Linked DNA regions of Diceros bicornis minor. The protein of the gene in region 1 purifies or fractionates together with the protein of each later gene. This does not show direct contact. Links are inferred from orthologs where the notes say so. Each region holds a gene or a part of one and is shown on either strand. Other genes may lie near its edges.

Region 1 (8,178 bases):
AATAGGCTCAGGTGTAAATCCCATTCCATCTCTGCCATTTACTAATTGTGTAACCTTGAATAATATACGTATTGCTCATTTTATCCCCCCATCTATTAACAAAAGGGCTAATAATACCTATCTCTTGGGGTTTTGGCAAGGATTGAACAGGCACTCAAAAAATGTGAATTTATTTTCTCTTCCTCTTAATCTTCACTTTGACATCAGAGGGTTTTTCTAGGGTTTATTACTAAACAACACTTTTTCATTTCATGGTATCTGATTGCAAGTATCTGGAGCAAAGAGACCATATCTTATTAAATTTTGAAGACCAGCACCCAACCACATTTAGGTGTTTAATATATGTTGGCCAAGTAAGTGAGGTCCTAGGGAGAGTTTGCTCATGGACTTCTGTTTAGAATTGCTGACTCTGGGTTCATCTAAATAAAGTGCATCTCATATCCTATTTGCTATCTTCATTATTAAACCTGCCTATATTTTCTTCCAGTTTCAATTAGAAACGCAGCTAAGTGATTTTGAGCAAGTCACTTACTCTACTGTGTAGTTTCCTCATTTGTAAAAACAGAATAGTTTCATAATAGTACTTCCTAAACTTCATAAACATAGTACGTGCTAAGTGCAAAGTGCTATACAAATACTTGTTATTACTACAGAAGCTAGTTCATTGTGCATTTTAATTTATAACTGTTATCCTGTGGACACACCCACCAACCTTTTTTTTTTTCCCTACTACACTACTTACTTGTTCTGTACCACCCAGCTTTCCTATATTTATCTTTTTCTATCCTTTTGTTTACTGTTACTGTGGCTCAGAATCACTGATCTCTGCAAGGGACCATCTGATTAGCCCTGGAGGAAACCAAAGTGTTATAAACCAAACAAAGGCATATGTTCACAACTAGGCACACACAGTTCAAGACATGAGGCTCAGACTTGAAGATAAAGCAAGGCACACCAGGAGAGGTGGGGACTGCGGTTGAGAAAGAAGTACTGAGCAGAGGCAAGGAACATGGGATCTGAATCCTGACTCAGCTGCTTTAGCCCTGTGGACCTCAGGTCAGTCAGGGAACCTTTCTGGCCCTCAGTTTCCTCATCCGAAAATCGGAGGTGGTAACAGTACTTACGTCATAGTATTATTATGAATTTGAGATAGCATGTGCAAAGCACTTAAGAACAGTGTTGGGCACATTGTAAACACTCAGTAAATATTAACTATTAAAATTATTATAAACTGATGAGTGGCTGACACCGGGTGGGAAGGTAAAGTAAGAGTTTGAAAGTTCACACAAACAACCATTGAATGTTAATTTCAGTAGTTCCGTACTTTCTCATAAACTTCTCCCTCCTTAAGTCCTAATTTGAGACTGAAATACTTTTTTTTCTATCAAATTTCCCCATCTTGGTCAGATTTTATTTTTCCTGAGGAAGATTCGCCCCGAGCTAACACCTGTGCCAATCTTCCTCTATTTTGTACATGGGTGGCTGCCTCAGCATGGCTGCCAACCCGTAGTGTAGGTCTCTGGGTAACTGAGCCTGGGCACCAGAGCACAGCGCACTGAACTTAACCACTAGGCCACGGGGCTGGCCCCCAGACTTTTTTTTTTTTTTTTTCTTTAACAGCATCAGTTCAAAATATTTGAAGGCGGTAATGGTACAGTTACTAATCATAACCTTAAGGTAGACTATTTTTGTACTTTATTATATACAAAAGAATAGCCATGCTTCCAATTTGTATAACCTAAACATTTTTTTGTGTGTGAGGAAGATCAGCCCTAAACTAACATCTACTGCCAATCCTCCTCTTTTTTTTTCCCTTTTTCTCCCCAAAGCCCCAGTAGATAGTTGTATGTCATAGTTGCACATCCTTCTAGTTGCTGTATGTGGGATGCGGCCTCAGCATGGCCAGACAAGCAGGGCGCGACGTGCCCGGGTCCCAATGGGGGCCGCCAGTAGCGGAGTGCACACACTTAGCCACTGAGCCAGGGGCAAGCCCCTAACCAAAACATTTGTTATTCACTTTCCTGCTGGTATAATTGGGAGTAGGGATGGGGAGGAAAGAGGAAGGCAGGATTTAAAGCTTTGCCTCACAGCATTTTAGGAACTAGTGGCAAAGGTCTTTAACAATAGTTCACATGGAGAGGCAACATTTCATCTGACAAAGTTGCCATGCACTGAGTTTGCTTTTAACATTCTTTACCCTCCTCCATGACAGCCAGAAACCTCATGTTCCCTCTTTTTTTTTTGTGAGGAAGATGAGCCCTAAGCTAACATCCATGCTAATCCTCCTCTTTTTGCTGAGGAAGACCGGCTCTGAGCTAACATCTATTGCCAATCCTCCTCCTTTTTTTTTTTTTCCCCAAAGCCCCAGTAGATAGTTGTATGTCATAGTTGCACATCCTTCTAGTTGCTGCATGTGGGACGCGGCCTCAGCATGGCCGGACAAGCGGTGCGTTGGTGCGCGCCCGGGGTTCCGAACCCGGGCCGCCAGTAGCGGAGCGGGCACACTTAACCGCCAAGCCATGGGGCCAGCCCTCGTGTTCCCTCTTAATTGCAAAGAACAAGAGCCTCTACTGCTCTTGGGCTATAAAACCCATGCTCAGGCTTGAGATGACAAATTAATTGCATGTTGGCCACATTTACCCTGGATGTTTTCAGTTTGGCCTGCAAGGTTTTGAAATATTGGTTGCCAACACTTAAAAATCAAGAGATTTCACATAAAAATACAGGTTTAGAATTTCTCTGAGGGGGAAAAAACCAGAGACTATCTGAGAACACTGGACCCACATTCCTGAGGGCAGCAATCTGCCAGAGCTGAACAGCTGCTGCCTTCAGTTAGAGCACGGACACTCCAATTTGCCACATTCCTTATCCTTCCCCATTGTCTTATACCAGGCCCGGTTTACTTATTTGCTTTACTTTTCTGGCCCCTGTAGGCATTTGACTTTAAAAACCCTATCTACACCTTTCCTGTCTTCCATCAAAGCTTACTTAGTTCTATCCCAAATCCCTCATCAGTTTTTCAAAGCAATAGCTAGGTAATCTGATCAACTATGGATATTTTTACATGTACTTGCTGGAAATCGTTGTCTTAATAGAAAGGGATGACTCTGCAGATGGAAATTACAGGCACCACGGGCTTACAATCAGGATGGCAACTGTCCATTCTACCTTCTCTGCTTCCAGACGTAGCCATACCTCACTGTCCCCAAGCAAACCAAAGGCACTGGTTCTCTGTAGAATGAACACTGGCCTACGTGTGACAGCTACTTAAATGGTACTTTCATAGATCACCCTAGGTCCAAAGGACCAAGGGTTACTAAGGGCTGTTCTGATTCCGTTTCCTCGGAAGCTTCAGGATATCCGGCCTGACGGCATTTCCCCTCACCTGCTTTCGAGCCCGTTTTGCGCTGGGCAGTCACGCCCAAGGAGCGCGCGCGTCCAGCATGAGCTCATTTCTCAGGGGCGTTTCCAGAAGGCCGGCCTGGCCGCGCGCACAAGGCGCAGCTGGCCTCCCTGTCTCAACCGCCCCGCCGCGGGGCGCGGCCGCCCAGAGGCGCTGCCTTTCTGGAAGCTTTGTCCCCACTTGAGTGCCTGAGAACTCGCACCCGGGGAAGACGCGGTATCCTAGGCGGAGAGGAGCCCGGGCGCGCAGACCTAGCCGCGCCCGCCGAGACCTCCCGTGGGTGGGGAGAGCCCCTAACCCTCTGCTCGCTCGAGCGCTCCGAGCCAGCCCCGCCGACCGCAGCGGTTTCGGACCGGCTGTGTGGAGGGCCCGCGCTCCTCATCCGCGGTTTCCACGCCGGCTGGGAGCAGCCGCAGACCAGCCCCTCAGCCACCACCCCGGCCGAGCTGCGCCCCGCTTCTGGGCCCGCCGCCGGAAGCCAGAGGCCAATCACATGGCAGCTAGGTCTTGCGATTGGACGGCGGTGAGCGCCGATTGGCTACGCCACGAGCTTCGGCCTCCCTCCCTTTCCCTTTTGCCCCCACGCCAGCTCCGAAGGTTCAGGCCAATCAGAAGGCGCTTTATAGACGCCCTCCTTTCGCTTTTTTCTTCTCCCCACCTCGACGAGGGAGGAGACGTTCTGACTGGCCAGGCTGTCCTCGGAAGCCCCCTTCTCTTCACCAATCAGCGAGGGAGGAACACTCCCAGCGGAGTTTTCAGCCAATTACAAAGCGGCCGCGGCGCCCAGCGGTGCCGTTTCACCAGCAACGCAGGGTTTCACCGTCCTTTAACTCTTCAAGCTTTTTCCTGAGGGCCGGCGACTCTGATTGGCCACTGTTGCCATTGTCGAATTTCTCTTCTACCCAGCCACAGAACAAGGCGAACCCACCTTCTCGTTCGGCTATCTTCGGCACTTTCCGCTTTTTGGGCGTGGATTTCCAGCGACACTTTGTAATTGGTTCCTCAGGTCCATCGGCTTTTTCCGGGAGGAGCCGCAAAGAAACGACGTCCGTGATTGGCTCCGCTCGGTCTTCGGCTTCCCAGCCGAAGCGGGCGGTCGCGGGGCTCGGCCGGCAATTCCTAGACGCCTGTTACGCGGGCGGCGGGGCGCTGGGCGGTGTAAGGCTGGGTGGGGGAGGAAGGAGGCGGCGGACGAGTAGGAGGGGGGAGGGGGAGTGGGGAAGAGCTAGGCGGCTGCGCAGACGGCGCTCCTCACACAGAGCAGCCCCCGACCCGGGCGAATGCGGGCTTGTGCTGCCGCTGCTGCTGCCGCCGCCGCCGCCCGGGCCGAGTGACAAAGGAAGGAAGGAAGCGAGGAGGAGCCGGCCCCGCAGCCGCTGACAGGGCTCCGGGCTGGGGGCAAAGCGCGGACGCTTCCTGAGCGGGCACCGAGCAGAAGCGAGGGGCGGGAGGGCGGCCGCGCTGGTGCCGTGGACGGGGGAGGGGGCCCCGAGGGACGGAAGCGGTTGCCGGGTTCCCATGTCCCCGGCGTATGGGGAGCAGTCGAGGAGCCGCTGCCTGGGATCTGAAGGGAGCTGCCTCCGCCACCGCCGCCGCCATGGCCGCTGGATCCAGCCGCCGCCTGCAGCTGCTCCTGGCGCAATGAGGAGAGGAGCCGCCGCCACCGCCCGCCTCTGACTGCCTCGCGACTCCGCCGCCCTCCAGTCAGCCGGATCCCGCCGCTGCCGGAGCCGCAGCGCTTCCCGTCGCATCTCCGAGCCACCCCCTCCCTCTCCCTCCCTCCTTCCCATCCCCCCTTCTTTTCAAGCGTGAGACTCGTGATCCTTCCGCCGCTTCCCTTCTTCATTGACTCGGAAAAAAAATCCCGAGGAATATATAATATTCAAAGTACTTATTTTCAATCAAGTATTTGTCCCCGTTGCACGTGATTTTTTTTTTTTTTTTTTTAGGATTCCTCCTCCCCCCTTTCTCCCCTACAAGGAAAGGGAGGGGAAAGAATTGTATTTTTTTCCCAGCCCCAAATCATCTATATGTTCAATATCCATACTGATCTGTCTTGAAGGAGAAATACATCGCTCGTTTTTTTTTATAGCTGTACAAGAGGAGTGAAAAGCCAAGTGGACGAAGTCTTTTTCTTTTTCTTGTGGGAGAACTTAATGCTGCATTTATCATTAACCTAATACCCCAACATAAAACAAAAGGAAGCAAAGGAGGAAGGAAGGAAAAGGTGATTCGGGAAGAGAGTGATCATGTCAGGGCGGCCCAGAACCACCTCCTTTGCGGAGAGCTGCAAGCCAGTGCAGCAGCCTTCAGCTTTTGGCAGCATGAAAGTTAGCAGTGAGTATTGATTTTATTTTATACCCCTTCTTCACCTCACCTTTAAAATAAGAAACCTTGAAATACCAGGATCTTAAGATCCTAGATCTCCTGATATAACCATCAGAGGTAATGGAAAAGCGCAAAAACCTGTCTTCAGTCAAGGATGAGGCAGCTCCCTCTTTTCTCCTCCCATACCTCCCCCGGTCTCATTAACCTTGAGTGCAGAGAATATGATTTTTATTTGGATGATTCGATTTGAAACACTTCTTAGAATTTTCTTGCTGGTGGTAGTCAGCTTTATCAAGTGCTTGAGTATTTCCATGTTAAAATAGTGATGGGAGTGTTTACTTGCTTATCCTTTGGAATAAAGAGAAGGACAAGACTTGATTCATAAACCATTATGTGCATTTGCAGAGTCTGTGTCTCTTTGAATGAGGAATATTGTAGTTAGCTCAGATCTCTGGGCTTATCATAGTTTTGTACACTTAATAGAGAGCCTTAATGTCACAGGCTTCTAACATTTCTCTCTTGCTTGTGTGACTATACGCAGTGTTTGTTCTTTATCCAGAGATAAACTTGCTCAGTGACCAGCAGTGGCGTCTGGGGGCGAGCATCGATTCCTCCCTTAGAAGGGGCGGGTGGGAGCTGATAGATACCAGTAACAGGAGTATGTCTACATGCATTGTATTAAATTGGATAAGTGGTTTAATATGTTCTCTCTTAACTTTTCTGCTTTGACATTACCGATCTACTAGTATATAATTTATGTTTAATCAAAAGGTAACTTGGAACTGAGTCTGAGTTTTGATTGAGGTTTTTATTGTCATGTTGCCACATTCCAAGTTGAATGTTAATTGTCACTGACTCATCATTTAAGTTCAATTTTGGGGTGTCATTGCATTCAGTATTTGTTAAATGATCTAGACTAAAGGGGTCCCTTTTTAGGACTGTTTAAAATTCTCTGGCGTTGGTTTCCTGTCGTATTTAGATAAAACTATAGACTTAGTTATAAGAATATGGATTTTAGACCTTTCCGTCATAGATTTTGCAGAGCACTGTGGTCCTGAATATAATAGGGATATTTGGGCTGTGTTCAGGGTTGTTGCTAGACTGTACTCTTGTCCCAGATTTGTGCTGAAAAGTCTGTGTTCTTGAGGTGTTTGGTATACTAAGTATCCGATATTCTAATGTATCTCTCTCTATTTGTGGATATGTTTCTGTGATATTTAATGACAGCTTATTTAAATATACTTCCAGAATTTGACAAAAATATATTGTTTTCTTATTCCTTGAGAAAGGGGCATGATGAGGGCAAAGAATACTATTTTGTTGCCTAGGAGAAGAAGAGAACTGAAGAACTGAGATTAAAAAAATGTACATGCTGTTATATGAAATTGATTATAACCTTAGGCAACATAAAATGATCACTTTTAATTGAACTCAGGATTTCAATTCATGTTGGCTTTTGAAACTTGCGTGAAACAGGGTAATCTAAGGTAATAGCTGAATGGGAGATTATTTTTGAAAGTTAATTTTTTTTTTGGTGACTAGCTAGTACAGAATGCAGGGTATGTGAAGAGAAAAGCTGACCATGCGTCTTTCAGGGAAGGGTCAAGCTTTCTAAGCACTTCATGGGGTCATTTAAAAGGAATATTTTAAAATTCAGGCGTAATTTTCAGCTATGATGAAGCAAATCTTATAATAGCTACTTAAGAGCCTCTTGTGGCACTGGAGTGTTTGTATGTTTTTCTCCTTGGTAATATAGTTTAAAAACCACTTGAAATCAATTTTAGGTAATTAATTTGTTAGATCTGTTTCAGAGAGCCAAATAGAATAGCTTATAATGTTAAAATTTTGAGTTTTTTGTTTCCATGATTTTCTTTGAAAATGACTCCTTAATTCTCCGTAGTGTGGATGTTGACTGAGGATGGAGTAACTTTTGTAAAGTCTGTAGGTTAAAAGGTGTGATTTTCTATTAACATATAGGTCAACTTAACATTTAAAAAGTTGGAGTTCGACGCTAATTATGTGTTTTTGACAACCTTGACTTGAAGGCTTTTTTAGAAGAAAGGGGAATCGTTAGGCGTTTGTTAGAGTGCTAGTGTTCTAAGGGACCCTTATTCAAAAGAGAGACAAGTAAGAAATGATTGTCTTTGGCCTCAAAAGCTTATCATTTAGTTTTAGAAGCAGGTTATGGGACAAAATAGGAAAACAATAGCATGATGACTGAAAGATTATAAATACAAATAGAATGTTTTGTTCAGAGGGACAAAGAATAAAGGGATGAGGCAGATGGGTTGGAGAGGAAGTGTGTTTTAAGACAGGTGTTAAAGGAGGCGGTAACTTGAATTGATAGAGAAGCATAAAGGATTCTTGATGGAAGGAATGAACAGAGGCATGGAGATGGCGATTTTTGTATGACAGATAAATGATTTTTGTGTTTACCAAGCAAGCTG
Region 2 (7,912 bases), on another chromosome or scaffold:
GTCTCTACTACAGCATTTGGCAAATAACTAGTAATCAATGTTTCTTGAATGTAAAATAATTTTATTATACATACCAGTACAGTATAAATAGCAAAGCAACAGAAAGATTATTAAATTGAAATTTAAAGTCTTCAATGTAATAAACTGTTCACGTCTATCTTCCTGGACATGCTGAACTTCTACGAGAAAAGGGTCTTTATCTAGTTCGCTGCTATATTCCCTGTCCCCTCATAGTGGCACATGCTGCGAGCTCAATAAATGTACTGAACTAAGTAATGAAAAAACTTCAATAAAAAAACAAGAATAAAGTCATAGTCCTAAGGAGCGGAAAGAGAGTCATCAAATCCAACCTCCTATCCAAAGAGAATTTCCTTCTTTCAACATTTTGCATTTTTGACCACTTCAATGGGAAAAAAACTTCTGAACTTATAAGACAGCCCATTCCAATTGCGGAAGAATTCCAAACCCCTTGTCTCTATTCCTCCCTCCCACTTCAAGCCCTTTTAAAGTAGTGATCTCCAAAGGGGGGTATATATATTCCAGAAAGAAAAACAGATGATCTATGTACAGGGATGTGAGAAGAAAATTAGACATTCTATATTAAATTTTTCACATTTTTAGATTTAAAAGTTTTACTAATATTCAACATACAAATAGGCATTGGCACCCTCACTCCAGCCATACATCAGACTAGCAGTTCCACCATGGGGAAGAGTGAAGGCTGGTGCCCTCAGCTGGATGCTCCCCTTCAGCACACTGCAACTTACTTGAGCATACTATATTCTACATAATAAAAGCAGACCTTTGAACAGTAGAATCTTTGTAAAGAGACAGGAAGTGACAATAACTTTCTGATTTCCTGGGTTTTCAACGGCCTAATGTTTACGAGTTAAATTTAAAGATGATAAGCAATTTTCTTCTACACAAAGAGAAGAGTTCTAGATATGCTAACCATTTATGTGATGACAGATGGCTACCAGTAGTATATGCTACCTAGCAGGTACATTCCAAAAAACAAAACACACTTTATCTTGTCAAAGTAAAGATATCACTTCAATAACGAGTGAGAGGGGCCAGCCCGATGGTGCAATGGTTAAGTTCTCAGGCTCCACTTCAGGGAGCCTGGGGTTTGGGAGCCCAGATTCCGGGTGTGGACCTACGCACTGCTCATCAAGCCATGCTGTGGCAGTGTTCCACATACAAAGTAGAGGAAGACTGGCACAGATGTTAGCTCAGGGACCACCTTCCTCAAGCAAAAAGAGGAAGATTGGCAACGGATGTTAGCTCAGGGCCAATCTTCCTCACCAAAGAAAAAAAGTTTAAAAAAAAATAAATAATGAGTGAGAAAGTAACTGCTCTTCAAAGGATACTTGTACTAAGGGGAGAACATTTTGAAAAATTATATTTGGAAATATTTCCAGTGTTACATGATTTTGTTGCTGAAATATATCTATTAAAAATACTATTTTTTCAGTCATTATCTACACAGATTATAAAAGATTTGAAAACATGGAAAGATTATTCCAGTGAATCTAAAAGTTTTCTGAACAGAGTTTTTAAAAATAGGTTTTAAAGTTAATTTTTTACATATATAAAAATCAAATACCTTCCAATTAGCAAGAATAACTGATTGAGATCAAGGAAGAAGGGAACGTCACAGCAATTTCAACACAATCCTGTGCACAACTGATGGTTGAGAACTGAAACATTAGTAATGTTGCCAACGATGCAATTCTTCCATTTGGATCTATGAATCTTTGTGAGGTATCTTTTTTTCAGTCATGACAGTCATTAAAATCAAATGTCAAAAGTAACTGAATTTGGAATCAAAACTTTGAATAGTTTATATCTAAGTGTCACATCAAGATTTATCTTAGTCATCAACACAGCACACTATAATTAATAAATCAATAAATCGGCAACAGCAAATGTATACTGGATGCTTTACTTGACATTATCATTTTTGTTAGGCATATCCCTCACCTTCAAGGAGCAGAATAAAACATAATCTTCAGATTAAATCTAGCCATAAATTATTCTGCCAACGATCCTGAGGTCAAACTGTAAAATTCAAATATCACCACCTCTGGGCCGGCCCCGTGGCTTAGCGGTTAGGTGCGCTAGCTCTGCTGCTGGCGGCCCGGGTTCAGATTGCGGGCGCGCACCGACGCACCGCTTCCCCAGCCATGCTGAGGCCGCGTCCCACATACAGCAACTAGAACGATGTGCAACTATGACATACAATTATCTACTGGGGTTTTGGGGAAAAGAAAAAAGGAGGAGGATTGGCAATAGATGTTAGCTCAGAGCTGGTCTTCCTCAGCAAAAAGAGGAGGATTAGCATGGATGTTAGCTCAGGGCTGATCTTCCTCACAAAAAAAAAAAAATTTATATATATATAAAACCACCTCTGATTTCCCATGAGGATTAAACAAAACCACACTAATTCAGGTGCCTAGCCGAGTGTCTGAAATAAATAAATGCTCAATAAACATTAACTACCCTTTCCTTGGCTTGAAGCCATGTGATTAATGAATTAAGAATTAGATAGGTTTGAATTCTCATTGTACCACTTGCTAGTTGTGTGACTTGGGGCAAATTATTTAACTCCATCTGTAAAATGGAAATAACACCCCACCTTATAGATCATTAAAAGAAAAGTCATTAAAGAATAATGCATAAAGCCATTCAACCCACAAAAGACAATTAATAAATGTCCAACATTCCTCCTTCAAGATAGCCTATTCATAACTGTACCAAAAGTATAGATTTATGGGTGGTTGAATTAAAAAAAAAAATCCATCAGAATCCCTATCTTCTAGTAAGAATTACAGCCATACAGTACCCTAACACCCGTGCCCGGCAAGGAGTGTACACTCCATTAATGTTTATTGAATTCAGGTGAATTATGTGCACTGTCACTTGGCTAACTGTGGCAGCCAGGGCTAGCCTGATGTGGGACTAGGTCTTTCTGCTACTCAAACCAGGGTTCTTTCCACTATCCTGTGTACCCTCTCTCGTTTAAGTCATCTACTTACTGATAAAATTATATGCTTATTCATATTGGTACAAGTTAAAGGTCATAATGAGGTGTTACCATAATTTGAGTTTTTTAGGTTTCTATGGCTAAGGAAGTCACTACTCTGTTAAAAATGCTCTTACATAAAAGGAAAAAAAACACTTAAGCTTCTTCCTTAAATCAGGAAGAAAACAAGGTTTCCTTTCGTTTGGCACAACTATCATAGGAAAGTCACCTATGTTTATGATTTCCTAAATGTAAACTGTGTAGGAATGTTTTTAGGATAGCAAAATTCTAGAAAGGTACAAACCAATTCAAACCGTAAGCAGCAAACGCTAGTGCAATAAATAAAGCCACTCTATTCTTGTCAAACTCAGAGCTGAATATACTTTAAGCAAAACACTATGCATTGAACATACAAATGCAGGTACAACTGTACGCGGCGCGTTGAAATACACATGAAGCACCTGTAAGACACAATGAGTCAACCCACAGCTCTGGAGGATAAATAGATAACAGGTTTTAAAATGTCTGAAAATTGCAGCTTCAGTGCTTTCGCAACACCTGCGTTTACGATCTGTCACGTGAAGCAAACAGGCATAATTAAACGGCACTACTAGGGCCACAACCATTCCCAGGCTGGCCTTGTTAACCTATCGTCAAGTAAAAGCAGGCAAACCGGCAGAGGCCTGCACCTAACTTTCTTCCAGATGGCAAACGCTGTCACGGGACCGCGGCGTTCGAGTAGCCAACCCAAAATAAATAAAGGAGTAACTGGGAATTCTGACATCCCCAAAGGCCCTCCTCATCCTTAATCTTTCCGGAGTGTCATCGCATGAAACGGGGTTTGTATGCCACAGAACCCCGCGACCCCTCCTGCCCCGAGGGGCAGCACTGGTCACCTCCTCCGATGGACCCCTTCCGGCCAGCTTCCAGACCCCAAACCACTGACTCAACCCATTCGCATAGTGCAGACTTCACTACCTCTGTTCAGTTTCCGCAGCACGTGATTTGGGGGCGCAAACTTGCTAGAAACAGATTTAACAAGACTTGAACCCATTTCTCTGAGCCCTGCCACACTTGGATTCAAACAATTCCCAGGGAACGTCACCAGTCTTAGATGACACTCGTTCAAATCGCCCGAGGAGGGGAGCGAGTCCCGCCCGGCTGGCCGCCGGCAGCTCTTACCCATTTGTCCAAGGGGACCTGGGCGAGGGACCCGGTGCCCTGGTACAGGTCCAGGCTGAGCTGCTCCAGGCTCAGCTTCTCCTGCAGGAAGTGGCCCAGGTACCTCTGCAGGAGGTACCGACAGGCCCTCTTCTTGATGGACTCTGAAAACGGCCAAGGCATGATGAGGGCTGGCAGCTGGGCCGGCGGGGGCTGCGGCTCTGGCCTTGGGGGCGCAGGCTCGGCTCCAGGCCGCGGCGGCGGTGCCTCGGGTCCCGGCCGGCGTCCCCAGACCGCGGCGGGGCCTAAGCCCGAGGTGGCCCCTCCATGCCCTCAAGGCGCCAGGCGTCCCTCAGGGCGACCCCATCGCCTGCGCCGCCCGCGCTAGGCCTGGCGGGGACAAGGCGGAGGACTTCCCGTCGCCCCAGGCCCGGGGGCTTCCGCGGGGGTCCTAGTGGGCACAGGCAAAAGGTGCGAGAGAGGGCGCTGAGACGCGGCAGGGGCTGAGGGGGACACCTCCACCACCGCGGCGCAAAGAATTTGTTGTCATCCGCCAGGCGCGCTCCCGGCTCTGGGGACGCTCCCGGCGCGCGACCCCGCGCTGGCGGAAGTGACGCCACACTGGGGGTCGGGGGGGCGGGGAGAAGGGCCCGGAGGGGAGCAGTTCCGGCTCCGAGGGGGCGGGGCGAAGGCGGAGGAGAGGGCGCGGCGCCGGGTCCGCTCCAGACACGTCGGGAGGGCGGAAGAAGAAGACAGCGGTTGCGCACAGGTGAGCGGCCGGGGCGGGGGTGACCGCGGGCTTGCGGGCGGGCGGCCGCTGAGAGGGCTCGGGGGCGGGCCAGGGGCCCTCTGAGCGGGACGCGGCGCAGCGGCCGGGCCGTGAGGGGCGACGGCGGAAGGGGCCCGTGCGGCGGCCGAGAGGAGTCTGGGGGCGGGTCCGGCCTGGGCCGTCCCGGTCACCTTAGACCCCGACCCCGGAAACGGGCGCTCGGAGCGCCGCGGGGAAGCTGCAGCCGCCCTCGAGCATCCCCGCCCGCCCCCCGAGTATTGACCGGTGCCCACTGTCGGCAAGTTATTGGTCCCCTGCCTCGTTCAGGTATTGTCTCCAAAGCTTCGTTTCGTTACTGTGTGTCTAGTGGCTTGCAGTTCAGAGGGCGCTTTCTTCATCCTGGGTGGGCTGCACCAAGACCAGGAAACTTGAGTTTTCGAGGCATTTGTGGGCAGAACTGCCTTCTCTGATCCGTGCCAAAGCCTCCCGACCCCTGAGAAACCTGAGCGAAGTGTTTGTGCTGTTCTGGGAATCTGCGCAATCGTATTTCTGCCTTTTAGGAGACAACAACTGCAGGGGCGGAGCTGGCTCTTCACTCAGTCAACCCGAAAAGGCCTGCGTGCGGGTGCTCAGCGGCCTGGAAGCCTTCTGTCCTGGGTCAGAATCCTGACCCTGGCATTTATTAGCCGAGCCGCCTTGAACCGGCCACTGCCCTCTCTGAGCCTTTGCCAAGTGTGAGCGTGTTAATATCTTATCTCCGAGAATTGTGATGAAGCTTAAATGATAAGAGTAGGGAACGAACCTAAGCAGAGTCCTGATAACGTATAGTTTAATTTAGGATGGTAAATGAAGACGACCTGTTTAAGGAGATTTTGTTTAGATGTTGATAACTTTCATGAATGCCTTAGGATTACTAACACAGAGCAGAAATGTCGACAGAGAAAGCTCTGGTTCCCCTTTCCACAACCACTTTTTCATTTTAGAACCAGTGTGCTCTCCAGTGTATGTAGTTGCTTGGATTGTTGCTGCCCCTCATTCTTCGTAGACTTGTCCCAAGCATTCTCGGTAACTTCAATTCCCTTGCTCTTCATTTATTCAAAAATATTTGTTAAGGATCCGTTAAATAAAAGTCTCCACAACTGGTGATGTGAAAATGTAAAGAATCAGGCAGAACCTTCAAGGAGCTTATGTTCTAGAGTGAAAAGTCGATTCCTTTATTCAATAAATATTTATTGATTGCCTGCATGTGCCACGGACTGTTCTAGGTGTGGGGATACAGCAGTGAACAGATTAAGTTCCTGCCCTCCTGGAGCTTGTATTTTATTGAAGGGAGGAAAAACAAACAATAATCAAATAAATCATATGCCTTGTGCTGGTAAGTGCCATAGGGACAAATAAAGCAATATAAAGGAAATGGAGAGGGGAAGATTTGCCACTTTTATATAGAGGGGTAAGGAAAGACCTCTCTTATTTAATAGGGTGACATTTTAGCAGAGACTTGGAGAAAGCTGGGGAGCAAGGTACATGAGTACCTGGAAGAGTTGTTTTCCAGGCAGGGGGAACAGCAAGTGCAAGGCCCTATGGCAAGAGCATGCTTGGTGAGTTCAAGAAACACCAGGAGGGAGTAAAGGAAAGAGGAGGAGACAGGGGGTGAGGGGTTGTCAAGTCATGCCAGGCCTGTAGACCATTATAAGGACTTCGGCCATTACCCTGGGTGAATGGGGTCGAGGAGACAAGTGACAATCTGACCTCTAACTGCTGTGTTGAGAATAAGACTCGTGTGGGGGTGGGAGGACCAGAAGAAGGATATTGCAGATCAGTTAGAAGGATATTGCCATAATCCAGGCAAAAGATGACAGAAGGATATTGCAATAATCCACGCGAAAGAAGACAGAAGGATATTGCAATAATCCAGGCAAAGGATGACAGTGGCTTGGACTAGAGTAGCAGCAGTGAAGATGGTAAGAAGCAGTTGGTAGGCAGATATATTTTGAAGATGATAAGACATGTTTGTGAATAATAATGATAATACTTGCCATAAAAGGAATATAAACAAAGTGGTATGAAAATGTGAGATCTCTTTTGGCAGGGAATTACAAAAGGCCTTGGGAGGTTTGAACTGGACTTTTGGCGGATGGGTACAGTTGACTTCTTTCAAGTCCATATGTTAAATAAGTGATTTCCCTTGGAATATAGAATTACATTCAGGCTGTCCATTGAATGCCTGAGATTTCAAATATCAGAAAAGGAAAATAAAAATTGGAACATTTTGTAACAAACATACTCCCTTCAAAGTGTTAAGTGTGTTGTCTTATATGTTTTATGCTTTCTAGAAGAAATTCAGCATATATGTTAAGGTTTAGGAGCTGTCATGATTATATCTTTAGCTTAAATAGGGTGCGAACTCACCCTAAATCACAGTGCTATTTTTGTGTTTTATCAAAGACAAAGTATTATCACAAAATGTTAACAGCATTAATTAAGTGAGGAAGGTGAAGATAATTTCCAATCAAACTGTCAACTTTTTCAGAATTTTGTGAAAGGATTTGAAGTGACAGGTTAGAAGCTATATACTAGAGGCTGGATGGGCCATCCTTCAAAGAAATCCATGTTTATATGTGAAATCAAAGCCGATAAGATGATGTTGGCACTTTTTTTTTAAGACTTGCACCTGAGGTAACAGGAATATGATGTTAGGGCTCCCAGACTGCACAGCTCTTGGGGTCGCACAAGGCAGCAGCACAGTCACCCTACGTAACATAAAAACACCGAATTTAGTCAAACTGCTTGAGTTTCAGGATCAGCTCTTTTCTTCTTTAAAGATGTTTTTAAACACTTTATTTTTAATATATAATAATAGATAATATTTCTTGAGCTTACCGTGTGCCCAACACCATACTAAGCCGTACTGACCACTTCTTGTTCATGCTGAGAGAGTTTTCCAGACCATGATGTAT
Region 3 (7,538 bases), on another chromosome or scaffold:
GAAGTGTTTCATTTAGTTCCTGCTGCAGGATCTAGGCTCTGCAGGCAGCAACAGGGAGAGGCAATAACCTCAGCTCCTGGGAGGAAGTATGAGCCACTATCCCCTGCAGAGCCGGGCTGCTGAGGAGTCAGTCCCTTGAGGGAATTTCATTCAGTCCTCCCCCTGCAAAAGAAATCATGGTGACGTGGGAAGTGTGTAAATGGTAAACAGGACAGAGAATTACAAGGGCACACAAGTTAGCTCTAAGTGACAGCAAGTAAGCACAAGGAAGAACATCTGACATTCCCTATACGTAACGCCTACCCCAGGGGAGTGTTCTAATGTCTCCCAAGAAATCACTGGAGCAGAGGATCTGATTAGCCAACTACTAGTATAATCAAAAATTTTAAAAACACATAAGGAACCTCAGATGAATTTTAAAAGCAACCTTTTATTCCACACTCTTTTACTACATTCCAGCCCTAAATGATAACACACTCACCACCCACTGGTAGGAGGGAAGATCCTTAATAGAAAAAAAATAAAACAGACCAAAAAAACCTTGCTAAGTAAACGATAAAAGATTTGGACAGGAAAATGTCAAAACACGTTAAATTTTAAACTTACGTGAAGATGCAATAGATAAATTGCATTTAATGAATTTTACAGGGTTCCAACTACCTTGATGTGAAGTAAACAGATACATAATAATGAGCAGCTAACCTTACCCTGGAATTTAAAGTTTAGTAATTTAACAACAGAGTCATAAACTGTTTTCCTTCCAACTCCTAATTACTGTACTAAGCAATAAGATGAGAAGATAAAATCCAGGTGCCCTCCACTCTGCAACTGAATTCAATACTAATCGGACTTTTCCAAATATAATGTACACAAAACCACTGAGGTAAAACTATAAATTTAAAAAGAGAGAGAAAGAAATACCAGAGTAAAGAGCTCAAGTGCTACACTGTTAGTCATTTTGTTTTGACAACTTTCATGATAAAGGTCAATAACGAGTAGACTAATTAACAGACCATGAGAAAGTGTGTAGCTCCCTGACAGGCACATAAATTAGAGGCATGGAAAAAGAATCATGCTGCTACATCAGAAATAGACACTCCAAAAAAAAAAAAAAGGGTCATTAACTTTAGGACAGATTTATACCAGCCACTTTTCCAAGTGAATCATATAAACTCAGAATCCACTTCAGTAGAATTTTCTGTATAGCAAATAACACTGAAGGCCCTCAAGAACAATGATAAATCAGATCCTTTGTGCTTCAAAACATTCAGACATATTTCAGAAATATCAATACATGTATTCAACTGATCAGAGAAATCATTCAAAAATCAGGTCTCTGACTGATAGAAATGAGAGAATTGGGTCTCAGAGATGAAATTGGTTTTTGTCTGAAATAATGTATTAAAAAGACCAAAAAGATGACGCTGATAATAAGGTAGCACATTAACAAAAATGTCCCAAGATTAACGCAGTCACTATATAAACCACCAAATACTGAAATTTCATGGTCTTAATATTTTTAATCAAACATACCTAGATTAACTCTGTACTTGTACTTAGTTTTAAGAGCCCAACAATTGAGCTTCTCCGCCCAAAAATTACTTGACTACTTTAACACTTCCACCGCATTGTCTCTACTCATAAGAAAATACTCAGATTCCTTCTTTTGGAAATTCAGTTGTGATAAAATTCAGTTTGAAAAGGATTACACGCGAGGAAATACTTAAAACAGTGAGAAACTTGCTGATTCAGACCGCAGCCCCCCAGACCAGCCAGGAACACTTCCTTGCGGTCATCTTAAGGAAGTGTTAGCTTTCTGTGCTCTGCTGAAAAGACCGATCTCTTGGGAATCTCTCAAGTAGTTAAGTCGTCTGGCATCACACCTGCACTGAGCTGGACGGGTTAACAGGTATCGCGTATTTTCGAGAGGAAGGACAGAAAAGTGCCCTTCACTTCACTTATGCCACCGTCATGGCCACAAAAAGAAGACGGGAGGCCGATCCTTCATCCTACTCTAGTCGGAAGACCACAGCGGCGGCGAGGACCCCTCAGAGAAAAAAAATCAGGAAAGGAAGGGAGGTGAAAGACGACAAAAGGAAATTTTTGAGCCAGCCTAAGATCATCCTGGGGGGTGGGGGGGGGCAGTAATCTCGGGAAAGAGAGGGAAAGCGACTGCTAGGCATGACAAGCAGGAGACAGCAGAGAGGAAAACAAGAACGGCTAGGTCTCGAGATCACCCACAAACGCTGCGGGAAACGATGGCGGATTCCGGTAAAATCGAGCTGTCGTCCTTCAGGAAAGGGGGGAGGGCGAGCGAAGAGGCCGCGGCGCGCGGGGGCGGAGGAGGCGGGGGCGCGATGGCCGCGGAGGGCTCGGGAAGGCCGCAGAGGCCGGGGGCCTGGGGGCGCGGAGTGGGGGTAGCGCGCCGGAGAGGAGTAGGGGGCGGGGCGGCGGGGAAACCCCGCACCGGAGCAGACGCCCCGGCGGCCCGGGGGCCCTCGGAGGTGCAGACTCGGGGCCGGCGGCCCGGGTCGTGAGGCCTGCGGGGAGGCGCCCGCCGGGGCCGGGGAGGGGCAGGGGGTGCGGCCGTTCCCCTGCAGGTCGCTCCCCGTGACGCCATCTTGGATCGGTCCAGCGCCCCCAAACGGGCGGCGGGGCGGCGAAGCTCGCCGCGCCGGGGCCCTCGACACACCCCACTCACCTGGGGACGGGCGGCGGCGGGCACGGGGCTGAGGGTGCGAGGCTGCAGCTGGCTGAGGTCTCCCAGCGATTCCCTCCCAGCCAGGGTCCACTCTGCGATAGCGGCTCCGCCGCGGCTCCACCGGAAACGACCTGGCCGCAGCCAATCAGCGCTCGGCTGCCGACGTCAATGCGCCTCGCTCTGGCCAGAGCCGTCGCCTTGGCAACCTTAAAGGCGCCGCGGCCCCAGGTCTTCCCCCGCCCCTCTTCATCCTGAAATCTTTCTCCTTCTGCTCGTTTCTGTCTTACCTGGTCTCTTATCCGCAGCCCCTTCCTCACTCCCGTCTTTTCCTTTCCCCATTCTCTCTAGCCCGGTGCTTCCCTCCTTCGGTTCACCTGCCCCTCCTTACCTGTTCCTCTCTGGATGCCTCGGGTCCCCTTTATTCTTCCTCTGCTCTTCGCTAGCTCTCTGCGCGGCTATCGGGAGTTCTCTCTCCTCTGCTCCTCTCCTCCCCACTCTCCTGCCTCCCTCGCCGCCTCTGCCTTTTCTCCCTCCCTTCAACTCCCACCCCCCCCCCCCCGGGCCGACCCACGTGGGGCGTCTCGGATGACAGGTGGGCGACTCCGCCCCCTGGCCCCTGCCGGGGGAGGACGCGGGGCCGGGGCGGGAAGGTTCCTGCCTTTTCCAGTCCGCGGAGGAGGCGGCGGCCCCGGCGGATCTGCGGCAGCTGCGCCGCGGGCCGAGCCCGGGCGGATGCCCGGGATGCGCACGCCCCGCCGCTCATCCTGTGCCCGGCCAGCGCCGCGCGGGCCTCCGGGCTCGGGCCCGCCATCCGGTCCAGGAAATCTGAGCCCCGCCAAGTGTCTGCTTGGCAGATCGAGCTGCTCTCCCCTCCGGAGGTGCTGTCGTCAAAGGAGGCCACACGGTCCCTATGAGCACAAGACACTGGAAAGGACTTTGTCAGGGTCCGAGAGAGGCCTCAATCCTTCTAGAACCTGAAATACCCCCCATCATCACGCCTGACCCCGCATGGTGAGAAGTACAAAGCGTGCCGATTGGCATAAGCCCTCTGTGACCACACAAGAAATCTCAACTGCCCTCAAAAACTGCGCTAGTCAGGGATGACTAGGGGGGAAAAAGCGACTTCTTTACTGCCTCAGCCATTTTTTACCATCAGAGTATCTGCCCGTGGAGGAAGAAAGGGGAAGCCGGGGACAGTTTTAGGCACATAAAGTCGCTAAATGAAAAAGGCCCGTGGAGGACACAAATTCTTGTGTCGGACTGTACCTGCTATATCGCATGGTATATAGCTCCAGAGCTGTATGTGTAAAATACACAATGGGTTTGTGTACAAAAAAAGTATATAAATATCTCAATAATTTTTATACTGTTTCCAGATTGAAATGGTAACATTTTGGATATATTAGGTTAAATACGATTAAAATTAATTTCGCCTTTGTTTTTTACTTTTTTAATATAGTTATTAGAAAAATTTTAATTACATATATGGCTGATGTTTTATTTCTTTTGGACAGCACTGCCCTAAGAGGCCAACTGCTCCCCTAAATCAAGCAGTGTGATAAGCGTCCTGCTCATCAGAGTATTTCTTTTAGTTAGTTAGAGTTATCCTCTGCTTTCTGAAAGAGCAAGTGTAGGCAACATCACAAGGGCCGATTAGGCCCACAGAAGAATGTAGGAGGGAAGTTTCCCCTCCCACTGACCCCTCCTCATGCTGACCTGGCCTTTCGCCAGGGATGGGAGGAATGGAGGATTAAGGACAGCGCCTCAGTCGTATAGGATTTCACCCTCGTCAGTACAAAGAAGGTCTAATAAACTGAACCCTAAGCTGGCAAGCAGGAGAGGGAATTCGATAGCATTGAGCAGGCCCGATCGTGTTCTAAGAAGAAAACACTGCCGTCAGATAAATCTGAGTGTGGTTTCAGGCTCTGCCATCTCCGGTAATTGACTTAATCGCCATGAACCTCAGTTTCTTCCATCATAAAAGGATAAGCAGGGCTCTGTTAAAATTAACTAGTAAAGATAATAATGGCAAAGACGCATACAGTGCTTACTATGTTCCTGGCACTGTTCTAAGTGCTTTACACATAATAATTAATTTAATCCTCAGAGTAACTCTATGGCGTGGGTACTATTATTGCGTTATTGTTACGGAAGGAAAATGAGGCATGAAGAGTTAAGTGACGTGCGCAAGGCCGCACAGCTAGTGTGGCTCACACCCAGGCAGTGATCTTTAATCACTCACTCTCCTTTGCAGCATAGTATATATAAATAAGGTGCCCAGCACAGTGTGGGATGCAGTAAATAAATGTTTACTTCCCACTTCTCCCTCTTCCTAAAGCGCCACTCAAACTACAAGCTTAAGACTGAGTTGTACTGTGTCCCAACAGTAGTGTTACCTCCCTAAGTCCATTAAGACACTTAGAATAAGGAAACAAGCAAGCTGGTGATATTAAGCCCAGTGCTTTGAGTGACAGCTGTTTCCCTGCCTTAGCACGGGTGTGTGACCCCATTCAGCTGCATTTGGGCATCTGTCCAGCCACGGGCCTGTTTCCTGTGTCAGTCGCGTTCAGCCTTGTTCTGGCTGCCAAATCCTCATATGCTGGGGCTTTAACAGACAAAAAGGGAAATGGACAGGAGATAGTTGAGCCTGGGGAGAGTTCACTGAGACAGCTGTTCTGAAAAACCAAAGAGCCACAGTGGTTTCCAAATGGTGTGAATGCCCTTTCAGTACCACCGGGCCGCTGTGAGAATGACAACTTGTAAATTACATTTCAGAAATGACAATTGCTCTCCTGTCGTTTCTGTGCGGTTTCCCCTTCTCCAGAGGACTCTGCCTTTGATGCCAAGGTCCTTTGACAGGCCTTTCCTTTGGCCTGTGTCCTTGAAAAGCTCAACAAAGTAAGTTTCTAGGATAGTGGGGCTGTAAGTAAACTTTTTTCTTTAAAACAAAGTTCCTCAAATGCTGTTAATGATGTTTGCAAAACAATAGCAAACAATCTTAAAGCAAAGTAAATATCAGTGGTCCATTTAGTAAGCAGAAGTAGAACTGAGAGAGCCAATACACAAAAGGAAGGAACACTTTTGTGGCCCATTCTTTTTCTTTTTTTTATAATTTTATTTATTTATTTATTTTTCCCCCAAAGCTCCAGTAGATAGTTGTCTGTCATAGCTGCACATCCTTCCAGTTGCTGTATGTGGGACGCGGCCCCAGCATGGCCAGAGAAGCAGCACATCGGCGCGCGCCCGGGATCTGACCCCGGGCCGCCAGCAGCGGAGCGCGCGCACCCAGCCGCTAAGCCACCAGGCTGGCCCTTGTGGCCCATTCTTAGTGTTTCTTATGCCTAAGGTTTCCATTGGCTAAGGACGAATCCACATATTTCAGATTTCCAAGGAGACCTTTTCAGACTACCACCACCTATTTGGTGTGCGGTGGTGCCCAGGATTTATGCTTCCTGTGCAACCCAAGGTTGTGGTTTCAGACATAACCCAATTCCAGCAAGCATTCAAATGCCAAAAGTCTTCCTATTTTTCTCACTGGCAAATGCTTATCTACATGGGGAATGAGTGTTTATCTTGAGCATTAATTGAAAATATTAACCATGAAACCAGAAGTGTGGCAATCTTGGGTCTAATAAAAATATCTTCATCCAAAATAGCATATTTAAATCCACAATGTTCCACAAGAGAGATAGAGAGTTGTATTAGTCAAGTTCTCCAGAGAAACAGAACCAATAGAACGTGTATCTAGAAAGAGAGAGAAAAGAGATTTATTTTAAGGAATTAGCTCGTGTGATTGTGGAGGCCAGCAAGTCCAAAATCTGCAGGGCATGCCGGCAGGCTAGCAATCCACGAAAGAGTTGATATTGCAACCTTGAGTCTGAAGGCAGTCTAGAAGCAGAACTCCTTCCTCGGGGAACCTCAATCTTTTCTATTATGACCTTCAACTGATTGGGTGAGGCCCACCTATTATGCAGGGTAATCTGCTTCACTCAAAATCTACTGATATAAAAGTTAATCACATCCAAAAAATACTTTCAACAACATCTAGACTAATTTCTGACTGAAAATTGGATACCAGGGCCTAGCCACATTGACACGTAAAATTAATCATTACAAACAAGTCAAGCCCAGATATTTGTATGAATTGCTTCTAAATATTCTCCCTCTGATATCAATTTCCCTTGCCTAAACTATTTTTAACTAATGCTCACCTTATATCTATAGGTTATGGATCTGAGGCTTTAAAAAAATAGTGATGAGTCTGTCACCCACACAGACCTTTCGAGTGTGTTGACTAGAATCAGGAACTTTCTTTGATTCTGTCAAACTGACTAAGTCAACAAATCTTGTTAATTTGTCCCCATGTTAGCATTTTACTGACCATGTATCTATACCTCTTCCAGGAAATCTTAATTTTTTTTTTTTTTTTTTTTTGGTCATGGTCCCCACTGAGAAGCTCATGAAAACAATGGGCTTTCTCCTCAGAAAATATGCCCAAACAGACACACGTAAGACATTTATCCTCTTATTTCAGGGGACTCAGAGATCTGAAGCCCATCTCTGCATGGATCCCAGGTCCAGAAGCTTTTACAAATGTTTCCTGAGCGTCCACACTGCAGGCACTGGGTGTGGGGATGCAGAGATGAATGAGTCATGGCCCCACCCTAAAAAGCTCACAGTCTCAGGGGAACAGCAGGAACATGGGTGCTTTCCACAGACAGGCCAACCTATGGGGGGAGAGGGAGGTTGAGGAGCACCGAAGGGACACCTAACCTAGGCTTAGAAGATCACAGAAGGCCACTCAGAAGAGGTGCTGGGATGCAAGAGAATGCTGCCT
Region 4 (8,263 bases), on another chromosome or scaffold:
TAAACTATATAACAGACTGTGGTGTAATATACATGCTTTTAAAATAAAGGCATGAATGAGATACTTTATCTTTTAAGGTTAAAAAGCATTTTTACATGTTTAAATGGCTGATAAAATTATAAATTCCACATTTTTTCCATTTTCAGAATGTTTTACATTGGTTTATTAAGTATTATTAAATTAAGTAATGCATGTAAAGCAATCACCAGAAAAGATGGTCTTCTCCATTATCTTTTCTTGTATTTTTCAATGTTCTACATAACGAATGTGTATTAATTCATTAGCATAAAAAAACAAAATCCCAAAACTGAGCAACGTGGAAAAGAAGGACTTTACATTTCTCTTTTACAAGTGAACTGCCAGCTGGGGCCATCACTCAGGCAGGAAACAGGAATTCAGCAAGTGGGCCAAAGGGAGACTCAAGTTTTCAAACAGGAAGCCACATGACATGGAATCTGCTTCTGGCTGTCAGAGGTTGCTAGTGTAAAGCTCCCAAGTTCCTGGGGAAAGATGATACCTGCCTTTGTAGTCAAAAGGTCATTGGGAGGATTAAGCTGAGAGGCTAGCTTTGTGGAGTATGCTCAGTTTCACTGAAAGGTAGAACTAGACTGAACCAGCAAATTTTAGTCTGAACTATGACATTTAGTGCCCCATGTGTTGCTGGGTCATAATTCTTTCATGTGCATATAACCCAAATGTCTTGGCTACATTAGACTATGTAAACAAATGAAAGTAACATTTCCATTAAATAGCAAAATTACATTGGAGGAGACAGCATCAAGGTGATTGCTAAAAATTAGCCCACTAACATGTTCCCTGGGGACATGTGAGGCGTTCCTAGGCATAATCTTAGGTGCACTTACACACAGCCTGTGTTCTCTGACTTGTCACACTGCTGCCTTAGCTCCTTAGTACACCACTGGCCTTCCCCTCTCCACACCTCCCTTCTGTAGTGTCCCCTGCCCCGACTTGTGTCCCCTGCTCCCCCATCCCAAGCATGGGATAGGCCTTTCCATTAATCCCCTTACCACAGCATAGACTGGGCTTATAACATTGCAGACTTTACTGAAGACTCCTAGTGTTAAAAAAAAATCATTAAAGAAAACAATTTAAGTGATACAAATAAACTTGAACACTTCATGAAGCGGACAGTCTCCATTCAGAGAACTACAAAATGGGGCATAAGGCAGGAAGCTTTTATAGGATAAAGAATAAAAAGCAAGGAAGAGAAAAATAAAATATCTGATTGCCTGGGGCCACAGAGTTAACCTTGTTTCCGGTCAGAAGGAACAAGGAAATGAGTATAGAGCCCAGAGTTGGCTTGGCCTGTGGGGATTGGCTGACTGGGTATGCCGTGTTTCTGATGCAGTGAAGCATTTGCAGGGACTTGGGAAGTTAAGTTGTGGTTTGCTGACATCACACCTGGGCAGGAGCGCCTCCATCCTCCTTTCCTCTTTCCCTCTCTTCTTTCCCTTTTCTTTCTTCTTTTTTTCTTTCTCTCTCTCTTTCCCCTTCCTTCCTACCTTCCTTCCTTCTTTCTTTCTTTCTGCCTGTCTCTTTCTCTTTCTTTCTCCCTCTCCCTTCCTCCCTTTCTTCTTTCCTTTCTTTCTGTAGTTATTGACTAACTAATAACACCTACCATATGCCAGGCATGTGTAAGTAAAAACAGATGTGGTTCCTGCTCATGAATCCTACAGTCTAGTAGAGGAGAGAGACATTAACCAAATAATCATTCAAATGAAAATCATTATAAATTCATCAAAGCATTGAAGAAAATTACAGTCCTGGGTAAGGAGGAGCTTACTTAGTCTGGGGAGTTAGGACAAGAGTTCTTGAGGAAATGAGAGTAGAGCTGAATGCTGAAGGATTCACGGAAATTCAGAGGCTAAGGGGGATGGACAGAGAAAGAACATTTGATACTGAAGGAAGCAGGACAGGTCTGGCCCTATTTTGAGGAACTGAAAGTAGGACTTCTGAGAGGGAGAATGATAGGAGAGCAGAGGAGAAAGTTAGGTAGATCATGGGGAGATAAGAAACCACTGAAGGGTTTTAAGCAGGGGACTGACATGGTCAGATGTGAATTGCCAGAATACAAATGCCAGCCTTCTGGGGCTAGAGTGCACATACTTCAAACAGCAGGCAAAAAAGACAAAGCTAGGAGCAAAGTAACTGTGCTAGGAAAAGAAATATGGACTTTGTAAACTGGATAAATTTTATTTTTTAAAGTATTAAAAAGGAATAAGCAACATCCACACAAAACTGGTATACAAATTTTCAAGCAGCATTATTCACAGTAGCCAAAAAGTAAAAACAACCCAAATGTCTATTAACTGATAAACTGATAAATAAAATGTGCTGTATCCATACAATGGAATCATTATTCAGCGATAAAAAGAAATGAAGTACTGATTCATGCTACAACATGCATGACCTTTGAAAACATTATGCTAAGTGAATGAAGTGAGGTATAACCAACCACATATTATATAATTCCATTTACATGAAATTTCCAGAACAGGCAAATTTATAGAGACATAAAGCAGATTAGTGGTTGCTTAGGGTTGAGGATGAGGTGGGGGATTGACTCCTAATGGGTATGGGGTTTGAGGGAGCAAAACTGTTCTCAAATTAGATTTTGGTGATGATTGCACAACTATGGGGATATACCAAAAAACACTGCATTGTACACTTTAAATGAGTGAATTGTATGGTATGTGGATTGTATCTCAATAAAGCAGTTAAAAAAAGAAAATAATTTAAAAAAGAATCCAGGAACTAGGGACATCTATAGAAAGGAATCTCAATCCTAAATTTCTTCTTGCTTTATATTCGTTGTAGTCCAAATAATTGTAGCTAGCAAAAGAGACCACAAGGACTGTCCTGCTAGGGTGAACTGGGAGGATCTCGGGCTCTATTCATACATGTTAGGACGGTAGAGTTGAGTCCATTGTTCATCTAAATTAGCAGTACCAAGCAGCTGTTTCAGTTAATCATTATAAGAACGGCAAAAAACACTCAAAAGAGTATTCAGTTCTTTCAACATTTTAAAAGAATGGTCTTAATTTGTTAAAACAATACCTTTTCTCTTTTTAGCATTTTTCCTTTTAAAAAGTAACCCTATAATGTTTCTTGAAATCTTATTTTCATTAAAATTAAGGTGTTAGCTTAACGTGAAGATAATGCCTCAGCTCTATTTTCTATTTCTTAAATCTTGATTAGGAACATGTGAAACATTACTTATTCAATACTACCTAGGTTCAAAATAGCTACCGAGAAAGGGAACAGGAGGTTGAGCAGGTGGCAATGCTTCCATTTTCACACTCTGAGAAGGCCAAGATTTCTTAGGGAAGCATTCCTGGTATCTGTATTAATCAGTTTCATAGTTCCTCAGCCGGTGTGTGTGTGCGCGCGTGCGCGTGCGCGAGTGTCCAATTTCATTTAGCTTGTGCTGCTGACTCTTATCAGGTTTTTATAAAGATTCTTTTCATTTCCCTTTCCAGCTTCCGTCTTACTGGTGTGTGCATGCCAAACTTAACCACTCTGCGTGTAGGCTAGTTAGATTGCCTTGTTTTGTGTATGAGGAAGCTGAAACTCAAGGATGATAAGGTACCTTGATTTGGCTGCGTCACCAATGAGAGGTCTTCCAGTTGGAACTTGAGTCTCCTGATTTCTGTTTTTTTTAGTGGACATCTTCATTTTCCAGCCTTCAACCTCTATCTTTTCAAATCTTATCCTTAGGAATAAATTTCTGCATTGAACATCACTTTATGTTGCTTTTTCCTAGAACTGACTTTTAGACAGAAGAGGTGGTTATCTGTGTGGTGTAACTGGAGGGAAAAAAAATCAAAAGACACATTCCTTTTGGGCCATTTGTTTTCCCAAGTAACAAAAAAATTCCCGTTTATTTCTCCTATTGTAATTAAATAGCAGTAACTGAAGACGTATCTAGATGCTCTTAACAAAGGCACAAAACAGCACCAGAGCTCTGACCTAATGGATTTTAGAAGAGGAATGTCCAAGTCGTTGGAAATTAAATCTTTCAGGATTGTCTTTCTCACGGACTACAAGTCTCCTGATATCCCAGCTTCCTCTGTGGCCTTCTTAAGATATTCTTTTCCGGGAAGAGCTTTAAAAAATAAAAAAAAAGTGAATCATAGGTGTCTCTCTCCTATTTAAAACTCTCCAACGCTTTCCATTGCACTTAGAATTCTAATTCTCAATTTCTTTCCTGGCTTACAAAGCCCTACAGGATCTGGCCCATGTTTGTTTACTTCTCCAAGCTTATTTCCTCTTACTTTCTTGTATTTTCCCCCTCAAACCCCATTTAGGGCCTTTGAATTAGCTGTTTCCTTTGCCTGGAATGCTCTTTCCTCTGATATTTGCATGACCGTTATACAAATCACTGCTTAAATATCTCCTCCTCGAAAGGGCCGCCCCTCAAGTAGCCACCCAATCACAATCACCATCACATCATTTATTGTATTTTCTTTGCATACAGCTTAACAATAACAGGTTTTTTCTTTCTTCTCTCTCCCCCTCCCCCATAAGCCCTCTAGAACCTACACTTGTCTTCATCGCTGCTCAATGGACAGCCTCGAGTAGCGCCTAACAAATACAGGAGCTTAATAAAAATTTGTTGAGTGAAGAAATGAACATACGAATGCTCCCTGTTTTTCCTGCCCCTCTCTCCCAAACAGGACAAAACTCATAATGAGGATACACTGAAAAATGTCTTTCTCATCTATCAGGTATTAACACCCTTGAGAAATAGATGTCCTTGAGGAGACTGTGCAACTTGACGGGACTAGCCCTTCCTATTCTAAGTGGAGAAAATCGTATGTTAGCTTTTCATCTAGGGCTGGGTTTCTCCGTGACCCATGCTTTACTTCCGATTCTGATACCGCGTAGAGACGCAACGGTGAGCACTAGGGCCCGGAGATCCCTCGATGCTTTGTTGAGGTTCGGATAGGGCCGCTGGCCTGGTGCGCTGTGAGTGGTCCTCCCTAGAGATGTTGGGGAGAAGGGGCGGAGCCACCCCGAAAGCATGAGCCTTACTTGGGCCGTCAGATCTGCGGGGCTGCCGCTTTGGGGCCCCGGGAATCAGAAGAGAGCAAAGCTCGCCTGTGGCGAAGAAGGAGCCCCGCTGACCCCAGGCGGTAAGACCAAGGGGTCGAAGGTAAGGAGGCAGGGCCTGAAACCAAACCCGCAGAGCAAGCCACGGCTTAGGTATTTTGCCAGGGGAAAGGGTTAAACGGTTTCCAAGGTAACGGACCAGGAAGCGCGCAAGACGTCCGCCGCAAGTTCGTAGGTCAGACTCGAGTTTAAAGCTCCCACGGCTGAGCGGATTCCGGCCAATGGAGAGGCTGCCTCGATATCACGTGACGCACGGGGCCGAGCGGCTAGCTGCCTCGGAGCACGTGGGAACGTTTTTCCTGTTCCTTCTTTGCTTTTTAAAAAGCCCACCCACTTTTGCGCGGGCTTGGTAACGGAGGTCTTCTCGCGAGAGGCGCGCTCCCCTCTCGCGAGAGTGAGTGGGAGGCGTGGGGACTAGGTGGTGTAGCGGGCTGGAGCTGCGGCGGCGGAAGGAGGGGGTGGGCAGGGCGGGGGCGGGGAGGGGGAGGGCTGGGGGCCGGTGCTGGAGGGGGCGTCTGCTTGCTCGGCAGCTCTCGCGACTGGTCGTTGCGGGCCGGTTACGTGCCTGTGAGTTGCGGAGGCTACGGCCCCCAGGTGAGCCGGGCGCGGATCGGCCCGCGGCGTCAGCAGCGCGTTGGCTGGGGTGGCGGCAGGGTGTGGGGCGGCGATTGATGGGGCGGCCCAGCTCGGGCGCCCCAGCCCCTGCGCCTGCCCGCAGTCCCTGCTCTGACTTCGGGGCTGTTCAAAGCTGCGCCTTCGCTCGGCGGTGGGAGGAGGAGCGGGGCGGAGGGAGGAAGCCCAAGGCACTGGGCCGGGGGGAGGGGAGTGTCCTCGGGCCCGAGTGGGGTCTTTCTGGAGTCCGAAGTGTGGCGTTGGGGCTGCAGCCCTTGAATGACAAGCTCAGTTTCTGACCCCAGAGTGGGCTTCAGAGCCGGGTCCTCTCGGTGAGTGGTGGTGTGTGTGCTTAGCTTGTGTTGGTGCTGCGCGCACAGGAGCATATGCAGGAGGAGGAGGGCGTTGCACTTTGTCCCCTAACAGCATCCTTCACTGTCAGAACCCCTGAGCCCTGGAACCGGGCGCACCCCAAATCTTGTGACAGAAACGGAAGACGTCAAGCCCGTCGGAGTATTGATATTGGGATTTGCTGTCAGATTTCCCCCAAGGCTGTTAATGGCTTAAATACAGGCCATGCATATTCCAAGTGCATTGGGTATACCACTTCGATTATTCCGGGCACCTAAGCTGCTTTATAAAAAAAAAAAAAATGTAGATACGACCAAAGTATTTAAAACGTTGGCCAATGACAATGGTAGTAGCATCTAAACCACCACAGTGGGTGTGACTTGGTGACAGTTCTTTACTTCTGCTTTTCGTCTCTAAAACCTTATTAAACTGGAAGTGGTTTAGCTTAAGATGTTAAAGAAATTTCAACGTGAGAAATACTGCTGAGACGTATCTAATGGTCTTAGTGCAAACCACCGTTAAAAATTCCGCTTCTCTTTTCAGCTTTGTAATTATGCAGTCCCTTGCAAAACATGTAAGCTTTCCTTAGCTTCTTCCCACCTTGTTAGGGGTGTTATATTGATTGATACTGTTTTTGATATGTCTGGAAATATCCAGAAAATTCAGAGTACTCGGAAAATATAGGGTACTCAGTCATGCAAAGATGATTTTAATGTCTTGTTTATAATTTTAGGGTAAATGGCAGCTCAATTCTCAGCAGGATTAGTGTCAGTTAAAATAGTGCAATTTAATGAATCTTTTAAAATACCTGGTCAAATAGTATTTGTACAAGTAGTACTATTCAAGTAGTACTGGTTATACTTTTTTATGTTCCTTCTGGCAGAACTGACCCAAGGGTTGAAGATGAATTTCACTGTTAATTGTAGCTGTGAGTAACAGAGCAGTTTATGAGAGATCAGAGAATGTAAGGCAATCAGAACAAATGGGTTCCCAAGCTGACTGGTAACTAGTGATTAGTGTATGTACCCACGTAAGTGAACTATTGTTATGGGACTTGCCCAAGACCCTGAACCACAATGAGGAGTTCCCTAGCTTCCCAGCTGCTGGAGTGAGTCTAGAAGCTGAAGTCCTCCTTTGCTTTTAGAGGCTGGAAGAAGGATAGTACATTTAATGTTGCTGGTTTTTTTTTTTGTTTTTTTAATTTCAGGAACTTACTGTCTGGAAAAGGAAATCAAATCAGATGATACATTATAGGTCATTTTTAGGGAAATTTCCAGTTATAAATAGGCAGAGGAGTTCTGTCTATACTTGGAGAAAATGTGAAAAACTTAAGAAATGTCTTTTTGAGAATGGGCAAAAGGGACCAGTCTAGATTTAAAAAGTTTTGTTCCATTCCATCTTGGCAAACTGATTTTCAGATATAGAAAAATAGCATTTTTTGCTGGTCCTTACGACCTTTTGGCAAGGGTTTCAGGCTTTTAGGATGTAGATATTTGTTTTGTCTTGCTTTTGAAAAGAAATTGAAGTAACTTTGGGTAGGATAATTATTTAGGTAAAATGAATTTATTCTTTTTCTGTGAAGTGGCCTCCATTTTAGTAATAAAATCACCCGCTTGGAGGGAATGAGGGGTGGGGCAGGTCAGGAAAAGATTAAGCTTAGCCTAGGCTTTAGTTAAGGGTGTATAAACTGGTAAAGTAGGGAAAGGAAAGAAAAATACTTTATCTGTTTAAAAACAGACCAAACAGATTCAAATGTCTTCATTCTGCTACTCATCTTTATATATAAAAGTTCATTTTATTTTTCAGTACTTAAGACATTTCAAATGTATAGATTAGAGACTGGACAGGATAAAAGGAGAAAACATTTTTGGATTAATCTGAGAATGTTTCATGGGAAAGAATAAGATAAATGGCATGGTGGCCTGGAACACATTGGGTGTTAACTTGGGTGAAAATGAGGTATAGTGAAAATAGTGAAAAGAGTTCGGGTTTTGGAGTCAGGCAGCTCTGTTAGTTAATATCACTGAGCCCCTTTTTCCTCATGCCTGACATGAGAGTTAAAATACCTCGAAAAGTTATTTTGAAGTACATAGTAGCTGCTTACTCAGTATTTTTTCTTGGACCTCTTTTAATGGCTTGAGGGTGATTTGATTGCAAGGAAGAAAAA

The links.
Region 2: the proteins of GSK3B (region 1) and GSKIP purify together in Homo sapiens (affinity purification with mass spectrometry; 10 studies listed by BioGRID and IntAct, with this or other methods). This does not show direct contact. The link is inferred for Diceros bicornis minor from reciprocal best matches to the Homo sapiens genes GSK3B and GSKIP.
Region 3: the proteins of GSK3B (region 1) and PRKAR1A purify together in Homo sapiens (affinity purification with mass spectrometry; 3 studies listed by BioGRID and IntAct, with this or other methods). This does not show direct contact. The link is inferred for Diceros bicornis minor from reciprocal best matches to the Homo sapiens genes GSK3B and PRKAR1A.
Region 4: the proteins of GSK3B (region 1) and AKAP11 purify together in Homo sapiens (affinity purification with mass spectrometry; 4 studies listed by BioGRID and IntAct, with this or other methods). This does not show direct contact. The link is inferred for Diceros bicornis minor from reciprocal best matches to the Homo sapiens genes GSK3B and AKAP11.

What each region holds. Positions count from the first base shown.
Region 1 is NC_080754.1:21,499,781-21,507,958, reverse strand, and holds the start of GSK3B (glycogen synthase kinase-3 beta), read left to right. Parts: upstream 1-5,154; 5' UTR 5,155-5,652; coding exon 5,653-5,740; intron 5,741-8,178. Other genes in the region: uncharacterized protein LOC131414749, read right to left, coding at 4,534-5,154. UniProt on the Homo sapiens protein: Constitutively active protein kinase that acts as a negative regulator in the hormonal control of glucose homeostasis, Wnt signaling and regulation of transcription factors and microtubules, by phosphorylating and inactivating glycogen synthase (GYS1 or GYS2), EIF2B, CTNNB1/beta-catenin, APC, AXIN1, DPYSL2/CRMP2, JUN, NFATC1/NFATC, MAPT/TAU and MACF1.
Region 2 is NC_080763.1:41,849,431-41,857,342, forward strand, and holds the start of GSKIP (GSK3B-interacting protein), read left to right. Parts: upstream 1-4,886; 5' UTR 4,887-4,955; intron 4,956-7,912. Other genes in the region: ATG2B (autophagy-related protein 2 homolog B), read right to left, coding at 4,208-4,369. UniProt on the Homo sapiens protein: A-kinase anchoring protein for GSK3B and PKA that regulates or facilitates their kinase activity towards their targets.
Region 3 is NC_080757.1:50,074,241-50,081,778, reverse strand, and holds the start of PRKAR1A (cAMP-dependent protein kinase type I-alpha regulatory subunit), read right to left. Parts: upstream 3,169-7,538; 5' UTR 3,090-3,168; intron 2,811-3,089; exon of another isoform or gene 2,702-2,810; intron 2,261-2,701; exon of another isoform or gene 2,242-2,260; intron 1-2,241. UniProt on the Homo sapiens protein: Regulatory subunit of the cAMP-dependent protein kinases involved in cAMP signaling in cells.
Region 4 is NC_080748.1:34,204,099-34,212,361, reverse strand, and holds the start of AKAP11 (A-kinase anchor protein 11), read left to right. Parts: upstream 1-5,096; 5' UTR 5,097-5,176; intron 5,177-5,673; exon of another isoform or gene 5,674-5,727; intron 5,728-6,013; exon of another isoform or gene 6,014-6,077; intron 6,078-8,263. UniProt on the Homo sapiens protein: Binds to type II regulatory subunits of protein kinase A and anchors/targets them.